Arabidopsis thaliana: one gene and its partner. The protein of the gene in region 2 interacts with the protein of the main gene of each other region in a biochemical or structural test. Each region holds a gene or a part of one and is shown on either strand. Other genes may lie near its edges. The genes, in order: ANK6 and SIGE.

Evidence for each region.
Region 1: the proteins of SIGE (region 2) and ANK6 form a complex in vitro, tested with the Arabidopsis thaliana proteins (one study listed by BioGRID).

Annotation. Positions count from the first base shown.
Region 1 is NC_003076.8:24,625,341-24,640,800, reverse strand, and holds ANK6 (Ankyrin repeat family protein), read right to left. Parts: upstream 13,615-15,460; 5' UTR 13,471-13,614; intron 13,024-13,470; 5' UTR 12,548-13,023; coding exon 12,023-12,547; 3' UTR 11,833-12,022; downstream 1-11,832. Other genes in the region: PIF7 (phytochrome-interacting factor7), read left to right, coding at 362-363, 508-928, 1,006-1,110, 1,177-1,242, 1,337-1,720, 1,806-1,928; AT5G61260 (Plant calmodulin-binding protein-like protein), read right to left, coding at 2,202-3,692; GUS1 (glucuronidase 1), read left to right, coding at 6,204-6,419, 6,521-6,557, 6,636-6,819, 6,889-7,037, 7,144-7,377, 7,455-7,644, 7,719-7,844, 7,942-8,041 and 1 more; AT5G61240 (Leucine-rich repeat (LRR) family protein), read right to left, coding at 8,843-8,933, 9,145-9,216, 9,322-9,393, 9,473-9,544, 9,643-9,723, 9,820-9,963, 10,061-10,132, 10,219-10,253 and 4 more; AT5G61220 (LYR family of Fe/S cluster biogenesis protein), read left to right, coding at 14,481-14,744; SNAP33 (soluble N-ethylmaleimide-sensitive factor adaptor protein 33), read right to left, coding at 15,435-15,460. UniProt on the Arabidopsis thaliana protein: Promotes anthocyanin accumulation through interaction with PHYA, especially in response to far-red light, high light and sucrose treatment, probably by triggering A3G2XYLT/UF3GT expression.
Region 2 is NC_003076.8:8,157,850-8,173,309, forward strand, and holds the start of SIGE (sigma factor E), read right to left. Parts: upstream 2,495-15,460; 5' UTR 2,326-2,494; intron 2,315-2,325; exon of another isoform or gene 2,073-2,314; intron 1,950-2,072; 5' UTR 1,898-1,949; coding exon 1,190-1,897; intron 1,068-1,189; coding exon 921-1,067; intron 814-920; coding exon 577-813; intron 488-576; coding exon 224-487; intron 143-223; coding exon 1-142. Other genes in the region: AT5G24130 (polypyrimidine tract-binding-like protein), read left to right, coding at 4,398-4,642, 4,826-4,940, 5,306-5,557, 5,638-5,976; SQP2 (squalene monooxygenase 2), read right to left, coding at 6,698-6,811, 6,939-7,217, 7,383-7,670, 7,820-8,038, 8,163-8,331, 8,460-8,637, 8,756-8,867, 9,629-9,826; SQP1 (FAD/NAD(P)-binding oxidoreductase family protein), read right to left, coding at 14,745-14,858, 15,026-15,304, 15,392-15,460.

The DNA of each region.
Region 1 (15,460 bases), about 16 Mb from region 2:
AGCAGGAGAGATGATTCTGGACTTGAGTGGCAAAACACAAACAATCCTTTGCCACACATGTGCTTCGTCCACATAAAAACCATTTGACGTTTTGCAGGGACCATTTTTGAGAAAGAGGAGACAAGAAGAGAGAGAGAGAGAGGCCTCTTTATTATAACTTTCAATATGGATCAAAGGCAGATACACCGCATGAGTTGTCGCTGTGATTGTCAAGAGTTTGAACACACAAAGAAGAAAGAAGAACTCAACATTTCAAGCAAGAAGAAAGAGAGAAGAGAGAAGGTCCAATAATAGAGAGAACAAAAAAAAAGAGAGCTTAATTGTCAGTTTATTCTCTGCAAACGTGCGGCCTAAGTAACACATGTATCTCTCTCTGTTTCTGATAAAGAACTCTTCTCTGTTTACACCAAAAAGAGACAAAACCTTACGCTTCTGTCCTTTTTTGTTTATCTCTCTCTCTCTCTTAAGTCTTAACACAAAACCAATTTCTTTTTTTTCGTGACTCAGGTCGAATTATGGAGTTAAAGAGCTCACATGGGAAAATGGGCAACTAACCGTTCATGGTCTAGGCGACGAAGTAGAACCAACCACCTCGAATAACCCTATTTGGACTCAAAGTCTCAACGGTTGTGAGACTTTGGAGTCTGTGGTTCATCAAGCGGCTCTACAGCAGCCAAGCAAGTTTCAGCTGCAGAGTCCGAATGGTCCAAACCACAATTATGAGAGCAAGGATGGATCTTGTTCAAGAAAACGCGGTTATCCTCAAGAAATGGACCGATGGTTCGCTGTTCAAGAGGAGAGCCATAGAGTTGGCCACAGCGTCACTGCAAGTGCGAGTGGTACCAATATGTCTTGGGCGTCTTTTGAATCCGGTCGGAGCTTGAAGACAGCTAGAACCGGAGACAGAGACTATTTCCGCTCTGGATCGGTAACAACTAACAAAATTACTCTTCCTTTTTTTCCTGAAAGATGACTGGAGAAATAACCAAAAGAGGACTTTAATAGGAAACTCAAGATACTGAAGGAGATGAACAAGAGACAAGAGGAGAAGCAGGTAGATCTAATGGACGACGGGGACGAGCAGCAGCGATTCACAACGAGTCCGAAAGGGTAAAAACTAATCCATCTTTTCTCTTTCCGTGATTACCAAACTACTGACTCTGAGTTTTGATGCAGAGACGGCGTGATAGGATAAACCAGAGGATGAGAACACTTCAGAAGCTGCTTCCTACTGCAAGTAAGGTAAATGTCTATCCTAGAAGAACCCACTTTTAAGTTTAAGAACTTTGTTTATATTGATATCGGTCAGTTTAAACGCGTTATTCGGATATTGCAGGCGGATAAAGTCTCAATCTTGGATGATGTTATCGAACACTTGAAACAGCTACAAGCACAAGTACAGTTCATGAGCCTAAGAGCCAACTTGCCACAACAAATGATGATTCCGCAACTACCTCCACCACAGTCAGTTCTCAGCATCCAACACCAACAACAACAACAACAACAGCAGCAGCAGCAGCAACAACAGCAGCAACAGTTTCAGATGTCGTTGCTTGCAACAATGGCAAGAATGGGAATGGGAGGTGGTGGAAATGGTTATGGAGGTTTAGTTCCTCCTCCTCCTCCTCCACCAATGATGGTCCCTCCTATGGGTAACAGAGACTGCACCAACGGTTCTTCAGCCACATTATCTGATCCATACAGCGCCTTTTTCGCACAGGTAAGACCGCTTTTAACTGTTTTCGAGAAAAGTGTTCAAAGATATACAAATCTTGAGCTCACTTCCATTGGCCATGCTGATGCAGACAATGAATATGGATCTCTACAATAAAATGGCAGCAGCTATCTATAGACAACAGTCTGATCAAACAACAAAGGTAAATATCGGCATGCCTTCAAGTTCTTCGAATCATGAGAAAAGAGATTAGTCTAGCGACCTAGTATTATTGATCCATATATATAGTTCTTGAAAGATTGTTGTATCATGATTGTAAAAACTGTTTTGAGTATGGAAAAAGACTTGCAGATAAAACTTGAAAGCTTCACAACTGAATTCAGTAACTGTCAAAGTACATTACTAAACCCTTTGCTATTTCGAGGACAGTAACAAGAAAATTATCTCTTGGTCGCTCTTGAAGTTTAAAATCTTCAATGTTAATAGATCATATGCACAAATAAACTTTTGTCTTTTTTTCTTTCTTTCATTGTTCGGAGACCAAAGGTCTAACCTTAGAAGCAGATGTTGTGGCCTTGCTCTGAGGTTTGTGAGATGTCTTATTAGTGTCCTGAAGAGAGATAACAGTTTCAAAAGCACCAATAAGAGCTTTCACTTTGTGCTTCCTCACCTTTGTTAGCTTATTCACTGTCTCCTCAATCACATTGTTAAACAATGTTATCATTTTCTTCTTCCCTTCTACTTTTCGATGCCTCAGAACAACTTTCTCACGTTTACTTCCTTCACAAGAATCTGTTTTCGTCTCAACACCCAATCTTCTATCTTTAAGATTCTTCTTCTTCCCTTCGGATTGCGTTTTCAGTTCCTGCACCACCCTCTTTTTGAACTTGATCCATCTCGGAGAAGAATCCTCGGGTTTAGGATCAAGAACCTTTCCTTTCTTGAAAGTCATCTGCTGAGCTAGACTCACCTTTACTCCTGTCTTCTTAGGCCTAACCTTCTTCTCCGGTTTTGGATTTGCTTCAACAACGTCTGCAGAGCCAGTTTCTTTCTTCTTAGTCAAACCGGTACTGATTTTACCAGGAATCTGTTTTGTAGGACTAGAACCACGTTTAGGAGTAGTACTCAAGCTTTTATTCCCACTTTTCATGGTTTTCTTCTCAGATGATGGTTGCTTTTCACTCTTAACACCTTTGACGCTAGATTCAACAACACACACAGTCTTTTCTTTTACATCTTCACCGCTAATTGTCTGAGTCGTCTTTGCCTTCTCCACATTCTTCAGATTCTTTGGAGCACAAACCTTAGAACTTCCAACGCCCGTAGAAGTACTTGACTTATCAGTTCTCAAGGCAGGAACCTTCTTAACAACAGCTGAACCACTCAGACCACTCTCGGTTTCTTTATTCTTCCGCGCTCTATCATTGCTTTTAACGCTTAAACCATCAACAGATTTCGCTATCTCACTACCTTCTTTGGAGCTAGATTCTGAATTCACAGAAGCACATGGTTTTTTCTTCACAGCCAAGGCATCTCTCTTTGCAGAAACAGAACTATCCGGTTTGGTTATACCTGGACTCTGTCTACTCACACTCCCCAATGACTTCCTTGTCGAACTTGGTGTCTCAACTTTGATCACAACTGAACCTTCAACACTCTTTCTCCTTGCAATCTTCCACGGCTTCACAGCATCATCTTGATCACATTTCTTCCCATGTTTACATAAATCATGAGTCGAACCCACACGATGATTCCCACGATAACGGGACTGAACCTGCGGTTTACTTATCGTTCCAGTCGAATGGCGTCTCAAAGTCCCACCTTGAGGCTTAGGCACTTCAATAATCTCTGGTATAATCTCTTCTTGATCCTTGGCTACCACAGCTATAACATCTTCCACATTTTCCACATCCTTTACACGTACTGTTTCCAAAGAGCCTTCTTCAGACATCTTCGGAGGGTTTGTATCGGAAGAATTCTCAATATCTTTGACCTCTGAAGTATTCTCTTCAGCCATTGACAAAATAAACCTGTAGAGGAAACAGAGTGCATTACCAAAAAGATCTCGACGTTTATGAACAGAGCATATTAGAACAATTTAATGGATTCTAAACTGATTCTTTGTCTTTTATTACCTATTCACTAATCAGATTCTAGAATTTGACATCATAAAGAACAAATCTTTAGACAAAAATCTACCAAAGATGACTCAATACATTCAAAGAAGGACAAATGTTGACTTTAAGAGTCATGATCAAATATGTGTATATTTCCTCGTTGATCATCAATGACATTAATACCTAAACGACAAAATTGAATTTTGATCATGATCCGTTACGAAAATTAATCACTTGTATTACAAAACAATGAAAAAAACTCCGATCTTTTTTTAGATAAAAAATTTGACTTCTGATCGAGATTGAAGGACAATGACCTAATTTCTACACAGTAACGCAATAAATACTCCACACGCTTAAAACCCTACCAACAGTTTCACAATTCAAACAAACACAAAAATAACCAAAAACGTATATCAAAAAAGAAATCAAGAATTAAGAAAAAAGATACCTTTAGATTGCTGCCTAATCTAACTCTCAGAGAATTTCCACAGAATAAGAAGAGAGAAAAAACAAAGAAAACAGTAAAATATGAGAAAAATGTATATATGTGTACCAGAAAATTGCTTTCCCAAATTATCTTTAGTTGGAAACAAATATGAAGAAAGAAGAAAGGTAGATTTGATTAGTTAGGAAAAGAACACGCAAAAATACACAGAGGAGGGAAGAAATCTTCTTGTGCAGAAGTCTTGTGAGAGAGGGAGATTCTGATTTTTATATTAAAGAATTTTGTTATTTAATTTACTTTGGCTCGATTTGTTATTTAATGTTTTACCTAATTTTATAATCTATTTATTCATTTATATAAAACTGATACACTTGGATGCATTTAATAAAAAATCGGTGTTGTTTAAAAATCTCATTAATCTCTCTTATATATCAAAATCATGAAAAATGCATGAATAATCGGTCACGAAAAATGAATTTGACAAATTCAATCTATAATCTCCTTAGATCACTATATTAAATCTCAAAAGTATATTATCATACAAGGAATTCCAATCGCTCGGAGGATATTTTGGCTAAAGCACAAAATCCATAATTTTTCTTTAACATAAAAACAAAGAGTTATTAGTTTTGTAACTATTTTCTTTTTTTACATAAACTGACTTTACTTTGTGAGATCATATTCATATGTATGACATTTAAGGGATCCGATACCTTAAGTTAAGTCTTTTTGGTACTTTTTCTAAAGAATGATTCTTGCCAATGAACATCTCTAGATTCTTTTCGTAATTTCTTTAGAATAAGATAAGATCAAGGTGTTGACCCACGAACAAAAAATATATGAATTGTTATATCGCAAGAAAATGATTTTAAATATAGATAATGTGGCCGTCGAAAAAGATAATCATGATTTAGCCTAAAATAAATCTTTGAGATATGGAATTTGGCAAAACAAAAACAAAAAATGTTTTATTGAGAAGACAGAGCCCACAATAATACAATGTCAAGATGGGTTACTTGATTTTATTCTTTATGGGCCAATGAACTTGGGCTCATTAGATTCAAACTGTGTGTTTGGGCTCCTTAGATTAGAAACTGATTCTCCTAAATGTGTGTTTGGGCTCCTTTGTAACATTTGCTTTCTCATGGTTTTCAATAGAATATCAATTAACAAAAAAATTGGTACAGTTTCGGTTTGGTGTAAACGGTTTAATTAGATTAAGCATGCTTAAAAGAGAGAGACTTTGATGAAGTGTTGTCAACTCCAAGAACAAAAAGCACCTCTGCTCTGTTTTGAGATCCAACCACAGTTCAAACTAATCAAAAGTCCCAATTTCTAACTTCAGTCTAGGCTTTTTCTCTCCATGGATCCTTGATTCTGAGGTCAGTTTCTGTTCTTGAGGTTTTTTTTCATTCTGCTTTCTCTCTCAATCAGATTTTCATATCATCTCTTCGAGAAACATAAATTATAAATATTTAGTTATGACTTATGAAGGTTACAAGATTAAAATTAGAAATTAATGATTAAATCATCCAAAAAGTCAACTAATGCCCTTATCCATGCTTCTCTGACACCAACATTTGACTAATCTAATTAAATTAGGAACAAAATTATTATCATTAACAAATACACCTCCAACATTAAGTAAAATTTCTATATACACAAATTTTCAAACACTAATGGTTTACTTTTCAACTCAAAATTCGAAATAAATTTTCCAAGAAATATAATTCTTATATCATTGAACAAGCCTCCAAGTTTTCTTAATAAGTTTTTCCTCTGTAATCATCATTTGCTTGTTAAGATAAGCAGGTTTCAGTTCTATTATTCCTCTTTTCTAATTTTTTTGGATTATATTTTCCATCTTCTTGATATGTTTTTGGTTGTAACTGATTACTAATTCTTGATCGCTCTAAAAGTTCACTTTTCTTTCTTACAGATCAACCAATCGAAAGAAACCAAAATGGGCTTCAACGTTGTTGTGTTCTTGAGTTGTCTGCTTCTACTTCCTCCTGTTACTTTTGGTAGCAACATGGAACGAACCACCTTGGTTATAGACGGCTCACGTCGAATCGCTGAGACCGATGAGAACTTTATCTGCGCAACGCTTGATTGGTGGCCACCTGAAAAATGCAACTATGATCAATGTCCTTGGGGTTACGCATCTCTCATCAATTTGGTATATAAAACAACTTTGAGCTTAATTTGACTCTTACTTACTTCATCTTAAATATGCCTTAAAAACTCTCCTTTTCTTTTAATCTTTTGAAAATGACTCAGAACTTAGCTTCTCCTCTTCTTGCTAAAGCTATTCAAGGTTTGTGACCTCTATCACAAACCGAAATATTCATTTTCTCATAAACTTCTTTTGCTGAAATACTTTGATTGTTGTTAGCTTTTAGGACGTTGAGGATAAGAATAGGTGGTTCCTTGCAAGATCAAGTGATCTACGACGTTGGAGACTTGAAGACTCCTTGCACTCAGTTCAAGAAAACTGACGACGGATTGTTCGGATTCTCTGAAGGATGTTTGTATATGAAACGTTGGGACGAAGTTAACCATTTCTTCAACGCAACGGGGTAAGTATAAAACCTTAGTATGGTTTTATGCAGAGCATAATTCACATTGACTTAACTCTAATTCTACAGAGCTATTGTGACTTTCGGTTTGAACGCGCTGCACGGGAGAAATAAACTCAACGGAACTGCGTGGGGAGGTGATTGGGATCATACCAACACTCAGGATTTCATGAACTACACAGTCTCAAAGGGTTATGCTATAGACTCGTGGGAGTTTGGTATATAGAACTAGATCTCTCTTTTCTTATGTTGTTTCTTATTGGCCCATGTTGTTTCTTATATATTAGTGTTGGTCCTTATAACACGAGCTCTGTTCTTGACTAGGTAATGAGCTTAGTGGAAGCGGGATTTGGGCAAGCGTGAGTGTAGAGCTTTATGGGAAAGACTTGATTGTACTGAAAAATGTAATCAAGAACGTTTACAAGAATTCTAGAACCAAGCCTTTGGTTGTAGCTCCAGGTGGATTCTTTGAAGAACAATGGTACTCGGAGCTTCTTCGGCTCTCTGGGCCTGGTGTTCTTGATGTCCTGACTCATCATATATACAATCTTGGTCCAGGTGCTGCATATGAAAAATAAATCAATAAGAGACTCTCTTTGTAGCATTCCTAAACAATGTTGAATTTAGTGTTGCAGGGAATGATCCTAAGCTAGTGAATAAGATACTAGATCCAAATTACTTGAGCGGAATTTCGGAATTATTCGCGAATGTGAACCAAACAATTCAAGAACATGGACCTTGGGCTGCTGCTTGGGTTGGAGAAGCTGGTGGAGCCTTTAACAGTGGTGGCCGTCAGGTTTCCGAGACATTCATTAACAGTTTCTGGTAAGACAGAATCAAATTCCACATTCTATCTTTACTCGGTTTCTATTATTGACAAAATGAACTCTTCTCTTAAGGTACTTAGATCAGCTCGGTATTTCGTCGAAGCATAACACCAAAGTATACTGCAGACAAGCTTTGGTCGGAGGTTTCTACGGTCTGCTTGAAAAGGAAACGTTTGTTCCAAATCCAGATTACTACAGGCAAGTTCATAAAGTATAATCTGTAAATCCTAAACCAGCATGATTACTGTAGGCGAGTTCATAACATAAACTTCTTGATCTCGAACAATCTGACCAGCGCGCTTCTTTGGCATCGTTTGATGGGTAAAGGCATTCTCGGCGTTCAGACGACTGCCTCGGAGTATCTACGAGCTTACGTTCATTGCTCCAAAAGAAGAGTGAGTGTATATATATCTCTATCTTTCTGTCGCTAAACTATCCTCTAGTTTCGGTTTGTAACTGCGAAATCTATCATCTTAGGCGGGTATAACGATTCTTCTGATCAATCTGAGTAAGCACACGACGTTTACAGTCGCAGTCAGCAATGGCGTGAAGGTGGTTTTGCAAGCAGAATCGATGAAGAGGAAATCGTTCTTGGAAACAATCAAGAGCAAGGTTTCTTGGGTTGGAAACAAAGCTTCGGACGGATATTTGAACAGAGAAGAGTATCACTTGAGTCCCAAAGACGGTGACTTGCGTAGCAAGATAATGCTCTTGAATGGTAAACCTTTGGTACCGACAGCCACCGGAGATATCCCAAAGCTTGAGCCGGTCCGTCATGGTGTGAAATCTCCGGTTTATATCAATCCGCTGTCGATCTCTTTCATTGTGTTGCCTACCTTTGATGCTCCTGCTTGTTCTTGAAGAGGATGGTAACTGGTGAAAATCAAACATTGAAGAACTACTGTAAATTTCTTGGCAATTGTATATATGATCGATGTAACACATACTATTGTATACTGGAAGTGGTTTATTCCAATCTAAATATATATAATCATTTGATTAAGGAGAAATATAGATTAGTGGAATGTGTCTAACTATACAATATGAAGATAAAAACTTGTAGTCTTATGCTTTCTTTCATTTGCAAATCCACAGACCATACAAAAAATAATAATAGTGAAGAGGGCTAAAGTGGAACAATCTCTAGGTGGTTCTGAGACGTTTTCTCGAGAACCTTCCTGGAATCTTCTATCCGGTCACACGGCAAAATCGGCATCAGAAACTTCTAAAACTTTGTGGGTACCAATTGGGTTCACGCCTGACTTGAACATGTTGCCTTCAATGTACCTGCAAAATAGAAACAGAACTCCTTATCGTCAGAGTGGAGAATGAAGAAAGAAAACATTCAACTTTTCTGAAAAACCAGTCATCATAAACTCATCCAGATGGATTTCACACAAAACAGTTCACATTGTTCAAATTCTTATACTCGATGGGTTTGCTATTTTGTCTGAGTCAAAGCTTTGATGAACTCTTCAAAAATTGGGTGAGAACTCACATTTCTTTGAGGAATGGATGCTTGTAGAATGCGTCTGGGATTCTCCCGGTAAATTGGTTGTGATCAAGGTACCTGGTTTCATCAACATCATGATCCCATTAGAATGCATATTTTCTTTTAGATAGTAAGCAAATCAAAGACAAAGAGAAAGATCAGCGATCTAGCACAAAGACTTACAGGTATGTCAGTTTAGGAATATGAGCAATGGCAAAAGGAATGTTTCCAATAAATTTGTTGTAAGACAGGTAACTGCAAAACCAATCAAACAGACATCAGAGATCTAGTGATATAGTTTATTGCAGAGAGATGGAGAGTGTAGACTGCTTACACAATCTCTAAGTTTGTAAGATTTGACAGCTGAGCAGGAATCCCTCCACTCAAATAGTTATTATTCAAGTACCTAATGAATCGAGATTTTAAAAAGAGAAAACGTAGTACATAAAAGAATATATCAAACGGAAGAGAGAAGCAAATGGAAATTTCTGAAGGGATGCTTACAAGTTGCGAAGAGCTGGGAAACTTCCATCAAAACGGATGAGCTCCCGTATAGTTCCCACCAAATGGTTGTTACCAACATCTCTGAAAAATAATGGGACACAAACCAAACATGATCTCAGTAAATAAATCATTGGAGGGTACCCAAACTATATGTAGAAAACGGCATTTGGTGTTTACAGGTGGCGAAGGTTTTGCAGAGTCCCCAGTTCGGCAGGAATTCTACCAATGAGACGGTTTTCTTGAAGGTATAGATACCGAAGCTCGGGAAGAGCAGCTAGTTCCTTGGGAATTTCTCCCTTGAAGCTATTGAAGCTCAAGTACCTTAAACATAAAAAGAAAAGAAGAAAAAATATCATGATTTCATGTGGATAAAAATGGACGATCATCAGAAGGTAAAAAGAAACATTAAGGTACTCACAAATGGGTTAGTCTCTTCAGCTCCCCAATCTCGGGAGGGATCACATCTTGTAGTTTATTCCACCTCAGGTTTCTAGTGATAACAACAGAGTAAATGTTTAGGTGAAGTATTTGGAAACTTGACATGTTATGATGGCACAAATAACAGACTTCTGTCACGTAAGTGCTAAGTTCACTCTGAAGAGAATTGGATCCTGAGTTTGGTCTCAGAACAACTTATTGAGACAAACTTTGAAAGGAAGTAAATCAATGATTCATATCGTTGTGAGAGCACAAGGAACATACAGTACTTTCAGCCGTTTCAGTCGTCCAATTTGTGGAGGGATTGGACCAGTCAACTTGTTGTTATGTAGATCCCTGAAATATCAAAGAAACCAATACCAGTTTCAATTTAACCATCTTAAAACAGCATAACTCTAAAGAATTATTGGGGATCTCGTTTCACAAACTAGGTTGGAAATATCTGTTCAAAGAGTTCTTGCATCAATCTACCTAATGTCACAAATAAAAAGGTTTAGAAAGTAACTTACAGTCTAGTCAAATCCAGAAGGTTTGTTACTGCAATGGGGAAAGGTCCAACAATCGAAACCGCATAAACTTCTCTGCAAATCAAATTCAGTGAAGCAAATCAGGTTGCTACAAAAGAAAACACTAAAGTGAGAAGAAACCAGAACTTACAATTCTGTGACAACTCTATAGTCTCCTTGTGTAGAACACGTGACACCAGACCAAGGTGGAAGGTCTCCATCTCCACAAGGATCGTCACCAACCCATGAATACACCACTCTCCATCCCAAAGAGGCTTTGATTTCATTCAAAGCTTTCACTGTCCACAAGAGATTAACTTTGAGGAAAGCTGATTATAAAAGATACAGTAGTAACCAACTACCATGATGCAGAGATATAACAAACTTCTTGAGACCAATAGTATCAGATCCAATCATTGTTCACACATAATTAATATTTCTCAATTTGAGCTCAGCTCAGCTCAGATTAGAAATAGATGAAAGAAAAAGGATCGAACTTGCGTGCTAAATCATGGAAATTGATAAGAGATAGAACGAATCTGGATAATGGGTATCTACCAAATCTGTTAAAGAGCTATACAAATTCAATCAATGGAGGATCGATCATAAACACAAAACCAGAGGGTGATTAAAGTAAAAACTTACCATCTCGCTTCAATGTCTTGGAGTGAGCAAAAGCAATTAAGAGAGAGAAGACGCAGATCAGAAGTAGCTCACAGCGAGAAGCCATGGTTTTTGCTTAAACAGCCAAAGTGAGAAAGAGAACAAACGGGATCTAAGAAGAGAGCGAAATTAAAAAACTCATTTTTATTTTCTCTTCCTCCTCCTGAGATTCGTAAACCGAATACCGTGTATTTCAAACCCGCTATCTCACCGACGGGTCTGGTAATGATCCGGATGTTTTCTTTTTGGTTAATGGGTATCGACCAAATCATTCATTGAAGAGATAGAACCAATCTTGTTAATGGGTATCGACCAAATAATTGTCATTTGTGTAAAATTATTGCATTCCTTACCTTAATTAGTTAAACATGTCCTAAGACACAAATGACAATGATTAGAAACATATGGTGCTAACTCAATTAAGAGCAAAACTTTGCTTCATCCTCGCAATCTAGCTATATACATATCCATGTCAATTATGTTAAATCACACTATGTCAATTACCTGCATTAATTTTTAGACTTAATGATTCATAAGAGACCAAAACCGATTATCTCATATTTTTGGTTGATCCAGAACCGGTTAAACAAATCAAATTCGGCTAGGATATCAAACTGGAGTTGCAAAATAACACACTGAAGATTACATGAATGTATCCGCAGTTTCAATGTTTCACATAGCCCATAAGATCAAACACCAACCATAATAGTTCTGATAAGTAGTCTCAACTAGAAAACAAAACAAAACACACCGAGAAACAACCAAGAAGAAGTTCAGTTGTCAGAACTGGAAGATGTGTCTCCACCAGATGAAGAAGAAGACTCGCTGTTAAGCTTCTTCATTTCCTCGTACGCCCATTCAAGGCCGTGACAGTAATGCACCGGCGGATTAAACCTGGTATCAGTTATATCATCTGCCAAGAATGCGCCGTTCTCCACCAGAAACTTCACTGCTTCTCTCTTCCGCTCTTTGGCTGCAGCGTGGAGAGGAGTCCACCCGCATGAGCCCCATGTTTTAGCATCAATGTTGGCCCCACGTTCTAGGAGTAAATCCATGACTTCAATGTGACCTCCCTCTGCTGCAAGGTGAAGTGCACTCACTCCTTTTGATTTGGGTCCCCATGCTAGAGCATTCACATCCATTCCTTGGTCGAGAAGCTGCTTGACAGATTTCAGATCGCCTTTTCTGGCTTTGATATGGAGCGGATTCCAGCCTCTGTCATCGACATTTGATCTGGGAGATCGGCGTCTGAATGAGTTACGCCGGAGGGAGAATGCAGCCGACGGTTCTTGGAGCATTTTGGGTCTGAGCTTCAGCTAAACAAGAACTAGCTTCGAAACTAGGATCCGGATCTGTGTAGGACTACGAGACTCGGGTAGATACTAACCAAACAGGGGTTTCTTATTCTATGCTTTTAGTGTAAATCTCTCAGCCAAGAATGTCTAAAGAAGATACTACTTGATTTGCAACACTATCCAGACTAGACAGCAAAGGAAGCAGACTAATGTAATTAAGTTGAAAGAGAGCAACTCAATTAACGGGAGGCAAAGGAGTGATTGGCGATGCAGTAAGGGAAAGAAGGATTCAAACCAGGGCCGAAGACACTAAGCTTTTGAAGGATCACAGATAAAGCCATAGACAGGGAAGAGAAAATGAGCATCAGTTTGTAAGAAATATAACCCTAATGATTGTGAAGAATCCTAACGGAGCACGACCACATCGAGACTGAGAAACCCCCAAATTTCAGCCTTAGAGAACACTGACCTTACCAAACCTATCAACAAAAGATGGAGAAGAAAACCAAATTAGTGAAAACCAGATGAACACAACAAAAATGCTATAAATTTCTCTGTAATATAAATAACACAACAATCCAGCTCGTGTAGAGTTTCAAAAGTTCATTCAGAATCCAATTACGACACTTGTAGTCTCTAATATTGGCAAATCTACAAACAATACAATAGAATCAGAAAAAATACCCTCACAGAGACAAAATCAATCGAATCAAGGGGGAACTAACGAGTACAAATTTTAATCATCGATCACCAATCAAGTCAGCTACAAATTACACATGAATCAGAACAAATCACAGAAAAACATTGACGAAATAAGAATCCAACGATGAATCCGAAACGAAAAAGAGAAAAATCAATCTCGACACGCAAGGATTTTCACACATACTTATGAACACAAGGAATCGAAAAGTTTGAGAGGCTCGTACCGTAACCCAGCGAGGAGATAGAGATAGAGAAATGGTGAAACCAAGCTCAGAGATAAAAATTTACTTCTCGCCAGAGAGATCGGAGTTTTTTCGCAGTAGGGTTTTCTCGTCGAGATAAGAGAGAATCGAATTCGTGTAGAGAAGGAAGAAGGCGTGACAGAGAATGATAAATATCGGTTTTGTTTACTATTTCTTGTCGAATATGCCAGCTCATACACCTTCATTAAAAAAGGCTGGCTTATCACATATTGGCCCAATTTAACAGGCCTTTGTGTCTAGCCCATTCTAAAACCGGTTCTTTTCTTACTCAATCTAAAATTGATCCGGTTCCCAAATCAGTTTTCCCGGTTTAGTTTTGGGTAAACCTAAAAGTTTATTTATTCCCCCGAACGACCCAGCTTGCTGCTATCAAAACCTTCGAACGGAGAACTTCAACGGCGAGCTCGGGAAATTAATACTCTCCGACGATTTGATTCGGTATGTATATGTATCTGGAGCTCGTTATCGTCAAATTCTATGCTTATCGGATCCTCTCATGATTCAGATGTATTGTCTCTTTTGGCTGTGACTGCAATTTCATCCATTTTACTGAAGTTTAGGATTACTAAGTGCGTTTATGGCCTTTTAAGGTTTCTTCTTGATTGTTTTAAGCGTTTGCGATTAGTTAATATTGGTTCTTTTGCGTATTTTCATGAACTCTAGTGCCTAGTTTCTAATGTTGCAGCAACTGGTTCTCATACCTTATATACACTACTCAAATCAATACTTATCTATATACTAATGTTACTGAATCTAGGTTCTTTTGCTCTATAAATGATGTACTGGTCCTTAATACTTTTCACTTATCTATATAACTTCTTGTTACATGTCGAAGTGTATAGCTTTATCCCTTGATCATCTTGACTACTTCTCTTCCTTTTCGGCATTGCTAATCTCAGCTTCTTTGTGTTCTTATACTGATTGCAGTTAACCAGGCTTTGTATAATTAAGGGTTAGTTTCCAATCTTGCAATGGTGTCTAGTAGTGAAGTTCTTAGCCTATGTCGTGCCTTGCTTCGAGCGGGACGTCAATTCCCTGATTACAACATTAGGGAGTACAGTAAGCGAAGGACCTTGGATGGCTTCCGCATGAACAAGAATCTCACTGACCCATCGAAGGTGACTGAGGCTTATGCTGAAGCTAAAAAACAGCTTTTTGTTGCTGAGAGAGTGCTCAAGGTTTACTTGGCATATCCTCCCAAGACCAAGAACATCATGGAAGTCAAGCTTCAGTAGATGTATGTTTGTCATTACAATATCCTCCAAAGCTATTTGTTTTTAATGGTCATGTTGGAGCCACTTTATATTCATTGATTGTCGAGTTTGTGGCTTGAGAATATGATTCGGGAACAAGTGGTGTTTGTATGAGATTATTATTTCCTCTATTCATAGTTCTTTCCAACTATGTCAGATTGCTTTGTCTAGTTCTCATTAGTAGTCTTTGTGTTTTATGGCTTCAGACATTATACAAGTGAAGAAGAGGACATTGTGGAATATATCCCTTGGATTGTAGCTGAGGAAGACTAAAGGGAATGAAGAGTTCCTGGTTTTTTTGTTCTTTTGAATAATCTCACATGATTGTGCAGTTGTTGCATAACATATGTTCCAACTTGTCTGGAGTTTCTGTATTCTTATGTCGTATTCTAGCACTGATATTTTTAGGTTATAAATCTGAGATTAAAACTCATAATTTCATCTATTATCAGAATTTCTTGAGAAAGCTTTATGATACAGATAAAAACGATACCAAAGTTGCTTCTGTTTGATCAATAAGTTTTTTGGTTTTTTGTCACAAGATCAAATACAAACACAGATAGCAATAATGTATTTAACATGATAAGAATCTTTCCAGTTTTAAAGAACAACTTCATAGAGAATAAAACAAACGAGGAATGAGTGTAATGAACATATAAACCCTCTGTTCATCTACTTTCCAAGCAAACGGCGACCAC
Region 2 (15,460 bases):
AGGCCTTGACTTCATGTTTCCTAACCATTTCTCTAGAGATGTTGAGATTTCCAGCTATCTCTCCTAGAGTCCTGTCGCCTTTTCCATCAAGACCGTACCTCTGTCGAATAACCAGACTCTCTTTCGGCTTCAATGAATCGAGCTGAAAATGAAATGTGATCATTTTTCAGTATTCACATAGACAAACAAGCTAAAACTGATAAAGATGAGCCAATTGACTAACCACATCGTCGAGAGCGAGCCTGAGAAGAGCAGGCTGTCTGCTGTTATTAGCTCCAACACCATCAACATCTGTGATTCCGTTGATGAATTCTTCTTGAGTAACCGAATGTTTTGAATTTAGTGACAAAACCGGTTTTGCAGCCCTCAATACTTCACGGTATCTCTCAGGTGTTATCTTGAGTCTCTCAACTACCTCGTCCTCCGTTGGAGGTCTTCCCATCTCAAACCATAGCTCAGTCTTTGCTTTATATATCTCCACTCTAACCTGAATGGTTTCAACAAAGAGGAAATATGTAAGATCTCTGCAAAAACAAACTATTTTTGAAAAAGAGCCAAAGAGGGTAGGTAACAAACCGATTCAAGTCCAAATGGGACACGAGTGAAGTTTGAAGTTGTCATTGACCGTATGATGGCATGTCTAATCCAAAACAAACCATAAGTCGAAAGACGAAACTTCCTTTTCGGCTCAAAGCGGTCAATTGCTGTGATAAGCCCTCTCATACCCGCTTGACAAAGGTCTTGGAATTTTGGTCCGTTGGTAAACTCATGAAAGTATTTGTTCATAACAAACAAGACAAGCCGGAGATTGTGCTGCAACATAGAAGGAAAAAACACACACAATAAGTTCAAAGAGTTATCACCATAACAAATAGCCTTTATAAGCAAATGTAATGGTACAAATCTTTTGACACACTCACCTTAATAAGTTTGTTTCTTGCAGCTCTACCTATTTCGATTTTCTTTTTTACTTCACCCGCAGTCATATTGATCTCCCCGGCTATTTCAGCTTCCCTAGGCTCTCTTCCCAAGCTCTTTTGCAATACATCTTTCACTTCAAGAAGAGCCTACAATGTTAAAGCCCCAAACAACTTGAGCATGTATTGCAATGAAAATCCGATTCCAGCTTCCTAGTGAATCATCATCTATCTATAGAATACATACTAATTTCAAGAAAAGAGAAGAATACCTTCATAGGTTGCATCAACTTGAACAACCAAGCATGTTCAGTAGAAGAAAGAACAGGAGGTATCTTCATTTTTTTCCAGTCCAAGCTCACTATATCATTAGAAGCTGAATAGTCCCGCACAAGCCTCTCGATCTTCTCCTCTTCTTGCTGCCTCTTTGTTACTTTCTTATCAACAGAAGCAACGACTGGTTTCTCTTGAACGTTTCTCTTCAAAGCAATCCGTTTATCAAGACTCATACGTTTTTCCTTCTTCACATTATTCCTCACAACCACTTTCTTCTCCTCACCACTTTCTTTCCTTTTTCTCCTCCGTGAAACTTTGGCTTTAGAGCCGCCATCTTCAACATCATCCTCGACTAATGTGGTTGTTGCAGGACTAAGCTTGTATATGCTTTCAAGTCTTGCAGCAGCTTCATTGTAATCTACTCCTAACGAACACGAAGGAGCCGAATTATGTTCCAAGGAAAGCGGTTTTTTCGGGGTTTTACAAGGCTTTCTCCTCGTTACTTCTCTCTTCTTCTCATTATGCTTTTCAGCAGGAATCAAAACTTGCTCACGAGGAGGAATGATCAAAGCTGAATTGCTGGAATCATCGGCTTTAAAAGCAACAATGGATGGCTTTTTAAGTGAAGACCGATGTGTCAAAAGATCGTTGCCCAACCCGAGTGGAGATCTTGCAGCTGAACTTGAAATAGACACAACTCCCATCACAATCTTAAGGCTCAAAAATTGAATCTTTCTCAAAGCTAGCTCACTTGTGCTGCAAGCAGAAACATATCTCATATAAGTATAAAAAATGTCTCAGGTTGTTGACAATAACTTGCATCAATTTTACTACAGAACACTGATCTGAATCTAACTTTAGCAGATATAACTAACTTACTCTAATATGAACACTGAGAGGAACCAAAATGAAAGATTGAAACTTTCAATCAAAGATTCAACATTTCAACATGAAACTGAAAAATTTAAGAGCGATCGGGAAAACCCAAAATTCAGATTCCTTTGAATAACAGAGAATTCAAATGCAAAGTCGAAATCTTTCGTGAGCAACAACTGATCATAAATTGAATGAAATTTTACACAGAAAGATCTAATCAAGACGAAGTTAATGTTCGAAATCGCTTTTGGCGTACCTTTGTAAGTATCGCGGAGAGAATTTTTTTGTTCGAGCAAGAGAATCTTCGTTCGATTTTAGATTCTGGTTCACGAATTTTAAATAGAAGTAGAGAAAAATAAAAATTGGAGTGGAATACGAAAATATGTGTCGCAATGAACTACGTAAATTATGGTGTCCACAGATTAATAACAATGTGACGCCGTATTTTCCTGGAATCTGTTTATAAACCCCCAAAAGAATTTATTAATCAATTTAAACCCCTTTTCTAGCTAGACAATACGTTTCCGAACTACCCTCTTCCTTGTTATTGATCTGTACCTAGCATAAGTGCATCCTCATCCCACAACTCTATAAGCGTTTTTTAAACATTAACTAGTATTAAAATTGAAGACACTCTTTTGTCATGTGTGTCTTTAAAACATTCGTATCACAAAAAATAAGAATTTTTAACATTAGATATAATAAAAGTTAAGAAAAAACAGAGTGAATAAGAGAAACTATCTATTTTGAAAGACATATTTTGCTTATTTGAGACATTTTACATGTCAGCATTAATATTAAATTATATTTAAAGATACTTTATAAAATTTACTGATGTGAATGGTTTTAATGTTTCTAAAAAAATACAAATCTAAAATTAAAGACACTTTTCATTTTATTACTATTTTTTTAAAAGAGTTTTATACTTAAACGACACTAACTAATAAATGATCAACATGTAAGGTCTAACTAATTTGATGGGTGTGTTAACTTGTTGGCTACCATCACACCATGTAAAGCATCCGAGCTTGAGAGATTACATTATTAAATTCATTTTTTTTGAGTTTAAGTTATTAACTATAGGTTTTACCACTACTGCTTGAATACTTTTGGGAAACATGTTCATTTTTTATTATTGGGTTGCATGATGTTATTAAAAATCGAATATATGTTCCAACATTTAGTGTGAACTATATATTTACTTGATTTTTTGTCAACTTTTATTGTCTAAATTATTTTATAATTGAAAATTTAAAATTAATCAACACATCTATCGTATTTATTGATTAGATTACATTTTTTGTCAAAATTTACTTTAGTCTTTTTTCAATCATGGTTTAATTCGTTTTTAAAGAAAGTTTACGTAAATGTAAGAGTAAATCTAAATGTATTTAGCTATATGTGCAAATAACTCAAAGATAAGAGTAAAAGATGTAAATAAACTAAACTATAAGTTTGGAATCTCAGGAAGATCCAACGGCCAACAAGGCTTTAAACAAAAACCAACGGTTGCGAGAATGCACAAGCGGAGATGGCGAGAGAGAGACGACGTGGCCAATTTATAGTGGAGGAGAAGATATTTCAAAAGGGTCAAGGCTTGTGGTTGTGGATCAGGAATTATACACGTGGATGGTCTTCTCAGCAACAGTCGGACCCAAAACAAATAAAGTGGTGGCTCGAGAAGCGTTTACGTAGCCTATTATAAACCGATTAACATATTTTTTGAGCTTTTGAAAGTCAAATATTGTAATCCTAAACCAATTGTTTAGATAATTTTTATTTCTATTTGCGTTTTTCCGGCTTTTGGTATATCGCAAGAGTCGGAGTTACATAGTTGAAGAAATGTTAATGGCGTTATTAATTTATTTTAGATCACATCAAATTTTTAAATATATGAAATCTATATTTTTAAGTATTTAAAACATAGTAATTTGCAGATGTCAAAATTTAGTAAACACAAGATCTTAATAAATAGTTTAAATCAGACTTGAATAACCATAAATTATGTTTAGATTTATATTTTATTTAAACATAATTTATGGTCATGATCCATTAACATCTTAAACTTTTTTACTTTTTACTTTTGAGTCCTGTAAGATTGCCTACGATTGGCCCAACAAGAAGCCCAAATTCAAAATAGTATCTGGAGGATAAAACGACAACGTCTGGTACGAAAGTCAGCTATTTTCCACAATCTGCCACGTTCCACTTTCCTAATCGAAGAACGCCATGCACAAAGCCACGTAAAGCTCTCTCTTTCTCTCTGAGTCTCTCCCAGATCTCTCTCTCTCTCTCAGTCTCTCTCTAAACGCATAATCTTACAATAAAATGGTGAAACTCGCGACGGCGCGTGAGATTAGAACGTACGGCCCTCGGCTTGGGAGGAGCAGAGCCGAGTACATCAACGCAGGTCTATACTTGTTTGCAACCGTGGTGCTCATCGGCGGTTTCACAGCGACAGGATTCTCATGGGAACCAAGATCCGGCCTCGTCCTTATTCTCTTAGCTCTCGTTCTTATAACCGCCGTGAATGTTCATGATCTTGTGGCTCATCTAGCTGGAATCGATTACCGGTAAATGATCTCAAGAAGCTTGCTTAATTTAGTAACATTATTATTAGTAATCTTAATAGTTAAATTTACCATAATTTGTAAGCTCAAATGTGTCTACGTGTGATATATATAACTTTATATTCACCAATGTGGGGGATTAAGAAAAACGTTTTAGTAATAAGCTTATTGTTTATGTGATTTAAGGTTAAGGTTAATGGAGTATGATTTGCAACTGGGGCTAGTGGAATTTGCAGTCCCTCTGGTTCAGATAGCGGGTTCGGTAGTGTTTTTCTTGGGAATCTTTTTCGTCTTCCATCAGGTATAACACTTTTTTTTTTTGTTGACATTATAACACTTTTATTGTTGTAACAAAGTTTCCTGGTTCATCAAATTTCACATATATGCTTTACGTATTAGTCTATGAGAGATAAGAGAACTAAATTGGTTATGTCTCGGTGATATCACATTAATTTATAACAATTATAGCAAGTGTTTGAAGATAAAGCTAAGTACTTGTGGCATATTAATATGAATATATGATATTGTCCATAATGTTAGTTGTGGACTTGTGGTCCATGTAAACATAAGTAATAGAGTAAAATGTTGTGAATAACAACTTTTGATGTGTGTCTGACTAATTATATGTAGTCACATTCCGCTGTATTTTTTTTCTGGAGTATTTAGGCTGAGACAAAACGTGGATACAGTGGAAGAGAGCATCATGCATTAAACTTGCTGATAGCGGGTCCGTTACTTTGGTTGATAGGATCGATTCACAACTCATGCCAAATCTACGAGAGAGCGGATAGTCATGTTCAAATTCTACAGCAGTGTGTTTACATTCCTTTCTTGGTTGGATCCCTTCTATTCTTGGTTTCCGCAGTTCTCAATAGCCTCGACATATCCGGGTCATCTCGTAGTGGATTGAAGCTTCTTGTAAGTACTTGGAAACCAAATTTATCGCATAAAAAGTGGTTTTCAAAATCCGCTTCTTACGGTAAATAATGAATTTTCAGGGGGAAAGATGGATTTGGCTTGGGATTTCCGGGGCTATATGTTTGTTTGTGGGAGGATTGCTGAACGTTGTTAAGGTTTTTAACTTCGTCCAGATCTCTGGGCTCCGCCTCGAGAAACTACGGGGTGGAGCTCAAGACCGACTTCTTGAAGGGAGAGAAGGATATCTCCCTCTTGTTGCTGAAGAAGAAAGAATAAGGAAAATGGAAGCTGATCACGAAGCTTCTAGTAGAGCCAAACCCCGGGCACACACAACCTCCAAAGCCGGAGAGGGAGCTACAGAGACCGTGGTGGTATCATCTCCGACACCATACAAGGATGTTCTCGTTGGACAGATCTGAGGAAGATTAGTCATGTTTAAATGTTCTTTTGTACTCCATATTTGTTTTTAGCTGCGGAGACCACATATTTTGCCGTTCAACATATGTTATGTGATTCGTTTCCTTTTTGGTCAGTCTTTATGAATATTGAAATAGGTTACAATACATCAAGACTTTAGAAGAAGATTTGTACACTAGAAGAATATTGATCTTCTTTATGAATAATGAAATAGGGTCTTTATACCTATTTCTATTTGACGATAGAGATTGAACTTGAGATGATCATAGAAGATAAGAGTAAAATGGATGCATGGTATAGAAGGCTAGAAATTGAGATGCAGATCAGCCATGCACGTACCATGCATTGAACCGGATTAGAGAAACTTGGTTAAATTCCCTGTTTCACATTGGTTTAGCAGAGATGGTCCTGCCTAGGGCAAATAAGATTAACAATTTGGTTGTAGTCAGAAACTGAGAAATGTAAAATTGTGCGACACTAAAATCAGCAGAGAAACTGGACTAAACATTAGAAAATTTCATAAGCAGAAAATCAAGAATCAATAAATAGAATATAACAAATTAGCATGTAACATATCCATGTTTGTTTTCAACACAATTCAGTAGAGCTTAACCATAGGCTCAACTTCATATACACACAATTATTTATTTGGTTGTAGAAAGTTAACTGTTTGAGTTGTTATTTTTCATCTCCGAATAAAACAGTCTTCGTGTTATGGATTGATCAAACAGTGGTTGTGGCGATATAGTTCCTTCGATAAGCAGCTGCGTTTGTTGGAATCAACATTTCCTTGAATCCTTCATCCACTAAATGTGCACCCAACATTTGCAAAGCCCACTGTTGATTCACATAGTAAAAGTCATCATAAGAAACATGTTTTTATAATTTAACAACAAAAAAAGAGTTTATAACCGTTAAGAAGGTAGAAATTGTGTTAGATAGCCAAGAAAATAGAAAGGCTTACGGCAAGAATTCTGAGGCTATGCCAAAAGCGACGAGGCGAAGGAAACGGAGAGAGCAAGTGGCCCATGGACGTAAGGGTGATGGCTACAAGATGAAGGACTAGAGTAAGAGGGTGAGGGTTCATGCCTCCGAGAATAGTCATCAATCCCCTTGTTTTAAAATCTCCACGAGCTAGGTAATTGAAGCAGCCTTGTCGCATTCCCTCTCTTGCTTCGTCTGTTGTAGCAACAAGCACTTGTGAAAAGATACTCGCGAGCGTGTTCACGGTCGCTGACATTGGCTTTTGCCATCCAAAATCAATACAAATAGAAAGTAAGAGTCATACCACTAGTCCAACACAACTTGATAATAGTATATATGACATTCTAGCATACATAAATATCCGAGTCACTCCATTTAATTAAACCAAAACCCCTAGTAAAAAACTAAGTAATCCATAACTCACCTTGCGGATGATGTAAAAGGACTTGACAAGATCAGAGACTTTCTTAGTATTGCTGAGGTTAGGCAATGGTTTGAGAAGATTGCGTAGAATGCAAATGTCCGAGAGTGCAACCATCATTCCTGACGCGATTATAGGATGACGCATATTGAATGCATCTCCCAACACAATCACTCCTCTTTTATCACACAATCTCGATGACATACTTTTCGTCGCTGTTGATTTTATCTCTGGTAATCCTTCCTCTATGCCTTTCAAAAATATCTCCCGAAGATTTCCAGTTTCAGGTATCTACAAAACCAAAGGGATCAATGATATAAACAAAGTCATTTGAGCATAGTAATACCACTTGAAATCAAAATAATACCATTTCAACACCATGAAAATGTTTAAACACACCTTAAAACTTTTACTTAGACTATCAATAGTTTGCTACGTACCTGAGGAGCCATTGATTTCTTGAGGAAGGTAGACATTTCACCATTCGATATAGAAGGAATACTATCAGCGGGAACTTCGGCAACACAACGAACTTCATCACTGGTTATTTGATATATAACACAAACCAAAGGTTTAGAAAATATCAAATGTAGACTATGGGGATCTTCAAGTCGGCTATTCTTCGTGACGTAACCCACCATGTACGAGAGGACTTCCTCCTGTGTAAATAAATATATGATTATAATCCTTAAACTCAGTAGTTAAGTCGAGACCAATCTTTTTTTTATAGTTTATAGCGAAGAATAAAAGTCGACAATGTTTAAAAGATAACTATGTACTCACAGTATTATCCACGAGTGACCGACGAAGGTTCGAATAACAACCATCGCATACGACAGTAAGAGGTGCAAAGGCCGTTATTTCTTCGCCTGCGCTATTTTTGTATGTCACTCCTTTGACCACTCCTTCTTCTTCAATTAAAGACTTCACTGTTCCTTCTTCTAATTGAACACTGCCAAGGTTCATTGCATTTATATTAAGAAGATGAAATAGAAATCTAGTATATAAGAGTCGTAAGATTATTTTACTCATAAGTTATAAAAAGTATTACGAAAGAAAAGAAGTAAAATATGTACGTACTTGCTAAGAGAAGCTGCTTTTTGGCGTAAACGTTGTACCAGCCGACCATTACGTAAGAGTCTACCTACTGGCTCATGAGGAAAACTCTTGTCATCTGGAAAAGGCAATGTCGCGTGTTTTCCATCCTTGTATATTGCCAAGGACTTCGCTTCTTGTGCGTCTATGTCCTCCAAACAATCTTGTACATATAAAAACCCAAAATCGCAAAACGTATGTTTATATGCATATATGTGCTTGTGGCAAAAAGATCAAGCAATGTGTAGCAATAAATTTAAAGATGAAGTGAAGAGAGAGACCTTCGAGGCCAAGCTGGGCTAACATGAAGCGACCTCCCGCTTGCATCAGCTCTCCCATGAATCTTTGTGGCTCTTTTAAGTCCCTCTCTATCACATGTACTCGTCGTCCATCCTGCATCCGCATTCAAGTTAATTTCACATATTGAGTAACTAATAGGGAATATATAGAAAACAACATTTCTGTAAATAATCGTCAAAACTAATACTTATAATGCAAATTATCAGATTTTGTTTTTGCTTGCATCCATATTTTTCTCTTCCTTTTTTTTGATGAAGAAAAAAATAAAGTGTTGACAACCCATCTTGAAATCTATTTTTCATATATTTTTTTAAAAATTTTTTTTTCCATTTTATCTACTTTTTATATTTTTAATGTTTAAAAAAAAAAAATCAGCCTGCTACCAATTCTTTTATAAATTTAATGTTGGACCCACATTTTTTAAGAAACACTTTTTACCATGTTCATTGCTTTAATTTATTTCATTATATTCGTACCAATGAAGATCGAGCACTAGTTTTGATAAATAACTTTTTTATTGACATAACTTTTTTCATTGACTATCTGATAACGGTTAAAGATCTATCTCTAAACTCATTACAACGGTTAAGATAATTCAACCTATTTGAAGTTTGATAATTATTACACCCCCCTGAACCATACTAATTAGCCAATGCAACACAAAAAGAAGTATCGCCTTTGATTAACGAAGCTACGCAAAACACATAAAAAAACTACCAAAATTCTAGTGTAATCAGCTATGTAGGATTCAGAACATCGACAAAATTTGAACTCTAATTAATCATCTTTACCGCGCGACCACTGAATTCAGCGGATCTTAATTTCTTACCGACCAACTTATGCAAAAGATATACCTTAGCTAAAGCATAAGCAAGAGAAGCGCCTGCAACACCCGCCCCAACAATGATGACATCCGTTGCACCATCTCTTCTTGCTTCTGCCTCGGCCTCTAAATCTCCGGTTGCCGCCTTCTTCATCTTGATGAGGTGAAAAACCATCCATGTCAGAACAAAGGCGAGAAGCGTCCATAACCACGCGTAAGTCATTGCCATTACCGCTTAGTAATAATATATATGCCTTGTACCTGGAGTGAACGTTAAATATATAGGAGAAACCCACAATGTCAAACAAGCCAAAATATGTAATAAACTATAGTTCAACAGCTTGGCAAATCAAATGAGTCAGTTATATAGGCCGACATGAGATCACATCACAATCAAATATTGATAAGCCACCTATCTAAATAAAGCAATAATTACTTATTCTATATGGTTTCTCATTATAGTTATTCTATCTTCGTTGACAAAACAAAAATAACACGTGTTAATTTGCTCAGCATAGTCTCTTATAATTTTACTATTCAAGGATATATATAACTAAGGTAAACATATATACATACATATATATATATATATATATATATATATATTGAACAAGACTACAAGAGATGCCTCATGCATCCGTTTATGGGAAGCGACACACAAACAGAGAATCGCATAAGGGATGATATATTTTGAGCATAGACATTTATCGACTAGCACAACTCTTAAGGAGATAGTACCAAAACATTATTTTGTCAATCTATTAATGATGAAGGATCAGAAATATTCCACAGGTTTTATGTGTATTTTGTAAATCTTAAAACATAAAGGATGACATGGTTTCAGCTACATGTTGAAATCGGCTAAAGTTCATAAAATACATACTTGTTATTTGATTTATTTTTGAGTTCAGGTTAATATATAAACGCAAAAGATCATAGTTTGGATTGAAAAAAACGGCAACCAAATAGTTGTAGTTGAAAAATGCTGTTTTCCCATTCTGGAAACCACTCACGAAATGACTATAATAGTACTTTTATATTATATGATAATATAAGAAATATTATTCAATAATAACTCAAAATCTAAATTTTCTATGTTTCATTCTGAGTTGTGTTGGATTAGTAGAAAATATTAACTGCCTATCTTTTTTTTTGTTTATTTATGTTCATGAAATTACTTAACTATTTACAAGTTTTCTGAAAATCAAAATCCTACTTTAAATACTTAACTTCTATTTTTGGTACGTTTTCTTTTTTTCTGGAATAGTTTGTTTGTTAAATTTGCTAAGGTTTTTAATATCGATTTTTTAAAATCAGAATGTTTGATTACATAATTTTATTTGTGGAAATCTTCGTATGCTACTACTATATTTTGCTCCTTCCAGAACTTTAAATGGACTAAAAAAGGCAAAAAATAATAATATATATTTCAAAACTAACGTTTCTGTTTAACAAAATAAATAAATAAATACTAATATCTCTGTCACGTTCTGTAGAGCTCGATCACGAAATTTAATTTTGGAATCCAACAGCATATCTGTCATATCTGAATTAATTAATAAGAACGTGTAAAGCTATTTTTGTTTTTCTTTTGGTAGGAAGAAAGTGTCAAAGTTAAACTATTAATAAATGAATAGTCTCCGTCATTGCAGATCATCTAATTTAGTTTTTTTTCTTTCTTTCCATCATAAGTGGAATTACATAGAACTGTGGACAACTGGACATGTTATAATTTAAAATTATATCAACTTTCAAAGTTTTTAGATAATAAGATGTTACAAAATTTTCTACTCAAAAACAATCAAATTATTGAAATTATTATGGGTTGCTTGGAGCAAATGTTAGACAAGAAGTTTAATTCTCCGTAACTCCTAACATAAGTGTTTATCAAAAATACAGGTCTCAGAAAGTTGTAAACTTTACAGTATGTCATGCAGTCATATATTTTCTCGAGGAATAATTGACTTAGATTTCAAGACGAATTGCGCATAATTGATCAAATTAATGAAATTTCTTAATGATTGGCTAATTTTCTTGAAATGTTTAGAGGGTTTCAACTTTCAAATTTCATAGAGACCGGTTTACTTATTTCTCGCATTGAATTCAAGAACATATATATATATATATCTCGTTTAATTGGTAGTGGACACAGTAATTTTATGCTTGTAAACTTTTATTTTTTTAATCAATCAAGGAGTTCTCCTTAGTATGTCAACAAAACATTGATAAACTTTTTTATTTTTTGTTGTTGTTATTGTTAACCACACATTAATAAAAAAAGTAACTTCATAATTAATTATCCTATTAGGAGAGGATATTATTTACAAAAACAATATTAAAGTAAAAATTTAGAAGAATGGAGTAAACAGTCCAACTTAACATTACATAAATGAGAAATTAAAAAAACAAAAGCGAGAAGAAAGGGGGAAAAAGACCCAAATCAAACCAAAATCATCTAGATTGGAGAAAGCGGGCTAATCTTCAAGTTATATTTAATAAAAATTTATTGAATATCATTAGTTTAAAGTTATAGAAAATTATAAAACACAAAAAATAATATATTTAAAATCAACTTTAATACGTTTTCTTAATATGTGTATTTTTCTTAAAAAATCAGACTAAACAAAACAAAGAGAGTATATTTTAAATTCTATCTCATATATTTATCTAGTTTAGTTTATAGTAGAAACCTATGTTTCATGGAAACAGAAACAGAATTACGGATGCGAAACATTTCAGAAACGTGAAACATTTTTTTTTTTTCTAAAATTAGGGAATAGAAACGTTTCGGAAACATATACACACATATATATACTTTATACAAAAAAAAATATCAAATAGTTTAACTAATGTTCTAAAATATAAAGATTAAAAGGCCCAATATCAAATATTTAGACCATCATTTTCATTTAATCCATCAAAAATCATATAAAACATCTCAAATCTGGTTTGTCGGGAAAAAGATCTTAAAACTCGAATCTCCCAAAATTAGTTAAATCTGAATATTTCTAAACTATTTGTTTATTAAGTTTTGAAAATAAGAAAAAAATAAGATTTTTCGCATTTTCAAATCGGAAATCAGTTTCCATCGTATTTTCAAATACAAAATTTTAGGAAACACGTTTTCGTAAATTTCCATCGTGTTTCTGAGAATTTCTGTTTCCGAAACGTTTCTATGTTACATGTATGCTTGTAACTCTTTTTGTCCAGTAAAAAGAAAGAAAAAAAATGTTTGTAACTCATTTTATTTGGATTGGACAGTCAATTATAATTAATAATGAAAAGTATGGGCTTAATTTGGAAAATGTAATCAAGGTATATTAGCTAAACAAGCAAGGAAAATACTTAATAATCAAATATTTAAATAATAGATAATATTTTTATGCCGCCCGGACATATAATATATGTACTGTTGACTATATATTAATTAATCATATCACAGAAAATTTATAAAACGGATAAACGTGATAGAGTAGTATGATAAATAAAACGAACATGATCAAATATCATAGCTAGAAAAAGGGGAAAATGTCAGAGATAACCAAATCAAACCGTATACTCCAGTTTCCATATTTTAATACACAATTAAGAACTAAATATGGAAAAAGACATATTTGAAGGCCAGTGAATGATGTCAAACATGTTTCATTTCTCTCAATTTTTGTAAAACCTAATTTAAAAAAAAAATTGAACGGTCGTCTAATCTAGAGGTAATGAGTAGATTTCTCTATTTTTGTTTTCATCTCTTTTAAATATCTTAAAACTGTAGCATATATTTACCAGAAGTTATGGAGACTTGGAGAGTGTGAACATGTATGAGTTGGAGCGAAAATTACGAACAAAATCTAGATGGGAAAGCCATCTTTTCTATAATTTGCTATATATAAATGTATGGAGACGAGAGTTTCTAACAATAAATGTATGAACACGACACCACATATTTCGTCAACTATAGGGACCGTCTGCATTAAGATGTTGTCAATGTAAATCAGTTTCTTCGACTAATTTCTTTTCGATATTTCATCAATTTATTAAAATTAATTAGCTTTAAAATTTATTGTGGTTGAAAAACTTTTGTAATAGTTTCTTCCGATAGGTACATCATACTTCTTAATCTAATATCACATCATCCACAAAGCTGAATGGTAAAGTGTATGGTCTATGTTTGCATGACCTTAAAAGACCAATGAATTAAGTGTATAGAGAGGGACGAGACTATCACTTTTGTGGCTGCTTTTCATGAACACGAAAACAAAAACCTCACCACAGACTTTTTTTTTTTGATAAAAACCTCACCACAGACTCCATCATCTATTGGAACGACTGCGCTAAGATGTTATATCGATAGCAACAAATTTTCATCAGTAGTTATCTATTTTAGAAATAAAAATTAAATTAATAGCAATAGATTTTCATCAGTGGTTATCTATTTTAGAAATAAAAATGAAATTAATACTGAAACTAAAATTGAAATTTGAATTCTAGATATCAAAACAATAAAAGTAACTAGAACATGATGTAGTAAAATAAGATTAAATTTATTTTTATAAACATTATATTTCTCCTAATATGTTTGCACGTTGCAAATACTAGATGACATTATTCCAACTATGTCGAGTTTAAATTATTTTAAATTATTTATAATATATATTTGCTTATAAAAAGTAACTTACTGTGTTTAAAAGTAAAGATTATATTTAATAACGAAAAATATGTTGTGAAATATTATGGTTGCATTATAGTAGTTGATAGCATAACATCTCATTAGTTTTGCCACAATTTATAGATATATTTCTTTGAAAACTTGTTTTTCTTAAAATCTTAAAATTTTAAAATTTAAAGATATATAAGAAGTTTAAAATATCATTAGACTGTTTTTTTCTTTCGTAAATTCATTCTTATAACTTCGATTTTAGTATACATAAGAATAAAGATATACTGTGCAAGAAAACCAGAGGTCACCAATATACACAAGCATTCAACAGAATTAAAAACTCGTTTTATTAGTATTACAATTCCTTCTTTTTACTTTTACGTAGAACAATTTTCATTTATATGAGAATAATTGTAGAACACAATATATGCAGAATCACAAAGATTCGTGATTTATATATGTGTTATATTTTGCAGTTTAAAGCACCAGTGTTTTAGAGAGCCGTTGCAGCCATATAGCTTTTGCTATACGCGGCGGCGTTGACTGGAAACAACATTTGGCTAACTCCTTCAGCCTTGAGATGGGGAACCAACATTTTCATAGCCAACTGGTAATTCAAATAAAACATACAATTTAATTCAAGGAAAACAAATATCCAAATATAATAATAATATTGTCAAATATTAGTGGTAAGATAAAAAGAGTATTAACAAAAATGAAAAACAATTCTAAAGAAAATATTTGATATAAGGAGGGAGAGAATTAGTGACTTACACCAAAAAGTCGAAGGCTATGCCAAATGCGAAGGGGAGAGGGAAATGGAGAGAGTAGATGGCCAATGGAGGATAGAGTGATAGCACATAGATGATAGATGAGAGAGATCGGACGAGGGTTCATGCCGCCTAGCAAAGCCATCATCCCTGACGTGCGAAACCCACCACTAGAGAGGTAATCATAGCAACCTTGTCTCATTGCCTCTTTTGCTTCGTCCGTCGATGCAACTAGCACTTGAGAGAATGCATTTCCTAACGTGTTAACTGTCGCTGACATTGGCTTCACCAAAAAAAAAACCATGTATTCTTTTTAAAATTTTGAGGTTGCAATTTTGATCAAATTTTCATGTTTTAGATATATGCTCACCTTGCGGATATCATAAAAGGACTTGATAACTTGTGAGATTTTTTGCGCATTGCCAAGGTTGCTTAATGG